Macaca mulatta: one gene and its partner. The protein of the gene in region 2 interacts with the protein of the main gene of each other region in a pairwise test. Links are inferred from orthologs where the notes say so. Each region holds a gene or a part of one and is shown on either strand. Other genes may lie near its edges.

Evidence for each region.
Region 1: the proteins of CEP63 (region 2) and ARFIP2 interact in binary tests that used the Homo sapiens proteins (3 or more experiments, as listed by UniProt). The link is inferred for Macaca mulatta from reciprocal best matches to the Homo sapiens genes CEP63 and ARFIP2.

What each region holds. Positions count from the first base shown.
Region 1 is NC_133419.1:59,303,582-59,307,591, reverse strand, and holds the start of ARFIP2 (arfaptin-2), read right to left. Parts: upstream 2,809-4,010; 5' UTR 2,699-2,808; intron 1,927-2,698; exon of another isoform or gene 1,887-1,926; 5' UTR 1,885-1,886; coding exon 1,786-1,884; intron 1,535-1,785; coding exon 1,438-1,534; intron 729-1,437; coding exon 610-728; intron 430-609; coding exon 208-429; intron 1-207. Other genes in the region: TIMM10B (mitochondrial import inner membrane translocase subunit Tim10 B), read left to right, coding at 2,986-3,021, 3,223-3,318, 3,510-3,686. UniProt on the Homo sapiens protein: Plays a role in constitutive metalloproteinase (MMP) secretion from the trans Golgi network. May have important functions during vesicle biogenesis at certain cargo subdomains, which could be predominantly utilized by secreted MMPs, such as MMP7 and MMP2.
Region 2 is NC_133407.1:37,602,708-37,605,350, reverse strand, and holds part of CEP63 (centrosomal protein of 63 kDa), read right to left. Parts: intron 1,523-2,643; coding exon 1,364-1,522; 3' UTR 1-1,363. UniProt on the Homo sapiens protein: Required for normal spindle assembly.

The sequences.
Region 1 (4,010 bases), on a different chromosome or scaffold from region 2:
GTGTGCCCCCTCCCCCACCCCCTCCAACTTCTGGACCTCTGTACAAACCCTTAGGCTGCCTCCACAGGTGAGTGCTGCTGGGGGTAGGGCTGGGCCCACCCTGAAGGGGTTCTCCCTGTGGGCTGCAGGAGGGAGGGAGGATGACGAATGACTGCCTGGGAGGGCCCATGCCCAGTTCCCCCACCCTCTTTGGTCTGGGTGAGGCACCTGAAGCTCTGGGGACTTCTGGCTGAGGTCAGCAAAGGCATCACCTAGTGCATGCTGGGTCTGCAGCAGGCTGTAGAGGTGGGCTGTCAGTGCCCGGCCCAGCTGCAGGACACTCTCATACTTGCGCTTCGTCTCACGCAGCAACTCAATCTGCAGCTCTAGCTCCAGGTCCACAGTCCGTGAGCCTCGACCAAATCGTTCTGATAACAGTTGCTTTGTGCACTGATTGGGAAACGGGGCAATAGATCAGAGACCCTAATAGCCTCCCGACACAACAGGTATCTACCCCAACGCCACCCAGGCTCCTACTCTCAGCCACAGATGGGATATTACGATCATGAGGAAAGGGGAAAAAGGTACCCATAACGAGTTTTGGGGAAGTGAGAGGTGCTCAAATCCTACCTTATAGGTGTTGATGCCCCATTTCTTGACGATGTCAAACTTTTCTCCAGCAATGCCCCGAGCCACCTCATCTCCAGGGCCAGCAGGAGTGGTGCTGTGAGATGGATGGCGGCCAGACCCTAAAGGATCAAGTTCTCTGACACCAGCCTCTCTCAGATACACCAGACACCTCTGTGGCCCCACCCATGCTTCTCTCCCAGCACATGAAATTGACTTCCCTGAAGGAGATGCTAGAGACAACTGGATTCTCCTGTTTACTAGGAGGAACTCGGACCTTGCACAGTGATAACCAAATCCTGATATACATATGGCCTCCTTGGAGGCCAGAGGAGGGGTTTGCAGGGAGTTGTTGGTGTATAGGGGCAGAGGAAACAGAAGAAAATACACTGAGTTTGGGGGCAGCAGGAGTCAAGGATGGTGGGTCATGATAACAAGAAACCTGGTTGCATTCCCATGTGGAATCTTAGTGTGAGATTCAGGGCTGTTTGTTCCTCTAAACTTTAGAATCTAAAAATTCTGAAAAGCCTCACAAAGTTCCAACTCAGCCTCAAGCTGTAGAGCGGGGGCATTCCTGTGAAGTAGGTCTTAACTTGACTCAGGTGGTGGCAGGGAAAGGACGAATGAGCCATTTCAGGGGCCAAGTGGCAAAAGGGAAATGGATGGACAATGCTGGGAGTTGCTTTTGGGCTGAGGAGAGTCCATGGGATTCCTACAAGCAGAAGTTCCTAAGATCTCCAGACATTATTCAAGCTTTCCTAGACATATCCTATGCTTCCCCAAACCATTCCTGTCCCCTCCTCCACCCAAGCTTCCTGTTTCTGTTCATACCTGTGGGGATGAGTCCATCACCAGAGCCCCCATAGCCACCAGACACAATGCTGGTTTCATTGAGGTTGGGTCCTGACACCATCACTTGCTGGAGGTCCTATAGGCCAGAGAAGAGGGGTTGCTTCAGGAACATAGGGACTGCAGAAGCATTTTGGAGGTGGGAACAAGTTTGGATTCAAGCATCATAAAGACACTACACAAGGGAAGTCTGCACAGAATCAAAATGATATGTAAAATTAAGGGAGTCAGATAAGTTCAGGGGAAGGCTACTGGAATGGAGGGTGAGAACCCAGGATTTATAAATTGGATTCCTAAATTGAAACAATTAGAAGAATCAAACAGAAGCACCTGCTCCAGCCCATCATCTTCAGGAAGCTGCCTGGCTTCACCGTTCCCGTGGATAGGGATCTCCATTGTGGCTGCCTTCCCTAGGATCCCGTCCGTCATGGCTAGGAAAGGTATTGGAGTAAAACTCTCCACCCCAGCACCCTGCAAAGCCCAACACAGAAGTTCTGGGCACTGGCCAGCACTCTAGAAGAAGGAAGCCTCCTCTGTCATTTCTTTAAAGGCTGTCCCAGGGTTTGAGTGTCCCAGCGTTTGGTCATCATTCCTTTCTTCAGGTATATGTATTTCTCCCCTCCAAAATGCACATTTGTACACAGGCACACCAAAGCACGGTGTCTTCTCACAAGCCCCCAACCTCACCAGGCCTCTGGTGATTATTCTACACTCATTCAGTCATTCAGCAGACATTTAGTGAGTGCCTACTCTGTGTCAGGTACTATTTGTGACAATGAAAATACAACAGTGAAGAGGGAAAGTAGCTCTCTTAGAACTTATCTCCATGCAGGCGTGTTTATGCTGAGCAGGAGATGGACCCTTTCCAGGGCTCAGGTCTTCACCCCCCATTCAGGTTTGTTCTCCATTGCTTGGCCTTTCTCACTCCTTTAGTGTTTCTTCCCCCTTCCTTCAGGGGGTCTCCCCTCCTACGTCTCATACAACTCCTCTTCCTTGGGCCCTCCCCACCAGGCCTTAGTTAGATCAGTTGGTGTATGTTCCCAGTCTCTGGCAAAAGCCTGTCTTTACCAGGATATCGGTGATCCCTTCCACAGTCAGTCTCCCAGGTATGTGAGTCCCCGCCCCCACCCCCATACACCTGGACATCAGGTGTGTCCTCATTCTTCCCCAGGGCTCGGGGCATCTTGCCCTCTGGACAGGTTTGTGCGTTCAACTTCCCGTCGCCCAAGCATGTCCCTCTCACCTCGGGCCGGGCCGCTCTTCCCCTCAGGGCGCCAGGCCCGGGCCGCGCGGGGACCTCGGGCTCCAGTTCCCGTCGCGATCCTAGCAGCAGGTCAGGGACTCGGCGGAAGTGACGTCCTCTCCGGGCAGAAGAAGCCGGCCACGTCGCAGATTATAAGGGCGGAAGTGACGTCGAAGCCGGGGCAGGGCGATACTCTAGCTTGGTTCTCGAGAGCAGCGAGAGGTTACTTCCGGGGCGGCACCGAGAAGCTGAAAAGGAAGTGGCGTAGAGCATGCGCCGGTGGCGTGATGGAGCAGCAGCAGCAGCAACAGCAACTGAGAAACGTGAGTGAGAACTAAGTCGTTTCGGGGCCAGACGTTCAGCTCGCATTCCTGCACACATCGCGGAAACCCCATAGAGCCAGGGATCTGAGGGCTGGAAACTTCGGGTTATGGTGCGCGGGCCTGGGAAACTTTGGGCTGCGCGACCTTGAGTAGAAGTGTGGGGCACATATCGCTGAGTTCGTGGTCCCGGTTTTCTCCCAGCTGCGTGACTTCCTGTTGGTCTACAATCGGATGACAGAACTCTGCTTCCAGCGTTGTGTGCCCAGCTTGCACCACCGAGCTCTGGACGCTGAGGAGGTGGGGAACTGTGTAAGGAGGTTACGCTGCAAACAGAGTTTAGCGGTAGACTGCTTCCCTCCTCACCCCACTTCCCCTACCTCTGGTCCTGGCCTTCCCAGACCCTCACCCCTAGGCTGTGCATGGGGAAGGAAGGAGGCGGGCCCGACAGGACACCTTTGTCCTCCGCTTAAACCCTATCTTCCTTCTAGGAGGCCTGTCTGCACAGCTGTGCTGGGAAGCTGATCCATTCCAACCACCGCCTCATGGCCGCTTACGTGCAGCTCATGCCTGCCCTGGTACAGCGCCGCATCGCAGACTACGAGGCTGTCTCGGCTGTGCCAGGCGTTGCTGCTGAGCAGCCTGGGGTCTCTCCATCAGGCAGCTAGCCATCTCCAACCCCAGGAGGGAAGGCCCTGGATGGACCCTCAGATTGAAGGACCCAGTGGACCTTAGGGTTGGTGAATCCTAAACGGAGAGAATTCGAGGTCGCCTGAAAACTGGCTGTCCTTGCTCCTTTTCCTGGAGCCAATATACTCGCTTTTTACTCTGTTTGATTTATATTCTGGGCAAGGAAGCTTTGCATACTTTATTGGCATAATCCTTTGTTCTGTCATTTAGCCATATCTGCTGGCTTCAGCCCTGGCAGCTGATAAGTTGTCTTCTATATGTAGAAGGAAAACCTGAGTATTTGCAGGCATCTGGTTAAAGCA
Region 2 (2,643 bases):
AATGCTGAGGGAGAAAACCCATGACAGAGCTCCAGGGGGCCCTCTGACTTACAGGTTAGAAGAGGAAAAGCCATGAGATGGAGTGGAGGATGAGGTAGAGATGAAACCAGAAGTTCCAGGTCTTAGAAGCCAAGAGAGAGTCCAGCTGTGCTGAATGATGCTCAGACGGTGATTAGGTCACTGGTGAACTCAAGAGCAAGAAAGCAGTCTGGGGATGGAAATGGTGGTGGAGAGGGTTAGGAAGAGAACTACGGTGGGGCGAGGTGAGAAACTGGAAAGAGTCACTGCAGACACCTCTTTTCAGAAGTGTTTGGGTGAAGGGAAGCAAATAAACATACAGAGCAGTACATAGAGAGGTATAAAAAAATGAGTTTTTTTTTAAAAAGGGGAAATAACAGGATGTTTTATGCTAATGGGAAAGATCCACTAGAGAAAGAGGATTCACAGGGGCCATACCCTTAAGGTGGCAAGTACACTACACTGACCTGTCTCATCTGTAACTGCACAATCTAGTTCCTTTGCTAGATCTATTTCCTGTGATTCTCAGATGCTGGCATCTTTCAGGGCCCCAAACCCAGCCTCCTGCTCCCCTCTCTCTCCACAGCCTCCCTGGTGGATCTTATCAACTCCCATGATTTCAAATGCTTCTGGCATATCAACATCCAGATCTTTATCTCCCATCTAAACTTGTCCTCAGCAGTGCAGACGCTGAACATTTATTTCCAATGGATATTCCATGGGCACCACGCACGAAAGCCAGTCCCTTGCCCTCCCTGCCTCTCTCCTCTGCATAAGTGCTGAGCAAGAGAGGACTGCTTGCTAAGGTTCTTTAGCCTACCCCGCTTATTCACTGCCAGCCTGACTTTACACACCACCAGCCCCTTGGCTAAGAGGGGCTACCAGCCTAGTAAATAACCAGCCCAGTTGGATGGCAAAACCAGTCTATCAATCCAGGTAAGTTTGACCCCTAAATCCATGCTTCTACACATTTCCCTTAAAGAAAGTTCCTGCAGTTACTTTATTTTCAACATGTATCATAAAATCCTTCTTTCAATTAGTACACAGCTATTCACATTTAAGTCAGCAAGATAAGTATCACTTTATGATAATACATATTCATATGAGAAAAAAGTCTAGCAAAGTGGTTTATTCTCACAACTTATCACTGGAGGAAGTCCTTCAAACAAACTAGTGCAGAGAAAATGCCTATCAAAAGTATTGGTTTTTCAGCTTTCTTCACCACTGCTTTAGATGTATCATTTTTATAATTTTATCTCTTCATGTTTTTAAAGAGCTGCTACTTCAGATGACAGTAACTCTTTGGTGTTTATTTTTATTTCCAAGATTGTGATTTTTTAAGAGGCTACTTTAAGGCTGTGAATTGTCTCACTGTCTTTTCACTCTCTCTTTTTAGTTCTTCAATATGGGCATCCAAGCGCTCTAGAATGTGATGAGACCTCAGTTCCTCCTCTTCCAAAAATCTAGTAGCTATTGAACCAAGGGGAGAAACAGGCAAGGAACACTGGAAGAGAGACAAATTTTGACATGTGTAAATAAGTAGAATATTATATTTCTAAGACACACTGTTCATGACATTTTCTAACTAGCAATATTAAAAGCTGATTGTTTTCCTTTGAAGAGACTTTTTTGGTTTTCATCCTAATAAGAGCAATAAAAGAACAAAACTCAGTAAATTCTGTAAAAATTAACACAGATCTGTCCCTTTCTGACCCAAGTTGTAATCATGTAAAGTATCATATATTAGTTATTGGTCTGAAGAACGTTTCAGTTTAGACTTATATATCCTTCCATAGTTAATGCCTATTATTTCAAACTCACTTTAAAAACCTGAGTATGTCACTTTCATTTTAAAGCACAGACAATTTAACAAAAATAAATTAGATGCCAGCTAAAATCAATATTTTTTCTCCTCCAAATTTTCAGTCCACAGTCCCTTATCTGAAACCCTTGAGGCTAGCGATGTTTCAGAATTCTGATTTTTAGAAAGGTAGTACAGAACATATGCCATATGCAGTCAATACTCATTCACAACAGCAGTCGTATTCTATAAAGTCACCCAGAACACTGAATTAGCAAACACAGAATTTTTGGCCCAGGGAAATATACACATACAACAAATACACACACACACATACACACACCCCACACAGAGAGTACAATCCTAAATCCTAGAACAACTCATTCTGGTGGATTCTGTATTTTTTATTTCACATGAGAGACATGAGGATCAGAAGTGGTAACTCTCCTGAGGCCGCCCCACTAACTGGTGCCGAGGCTGGAATTCAGACTCTACTCATTCCTCTGTCTGGCATGGAGCTGAGCTTCTTCCCTACACTGCGCTGTCCCATCCATCTCCACCCTCTGGTGGAGATGCCTACTTCAACCTTGGCTTAGATTGTGCAAGTCGGCACTCAAATTTTTGGCCACTCTGTATATGTCCACGAATGACTGTGGAAGTGCTCTGCGCATACTGATTTGGGAGTTATAAAGCTGAGGGAGTAGACAAATTCACAGATACAGAATCTGTGAATAATGAGGATCAACTGTATTACCCCAGTGGAGTCTGAGGGAACATCCCATAACCAAACACATTGATATTTCTGAAGCAAAACACATGGATAT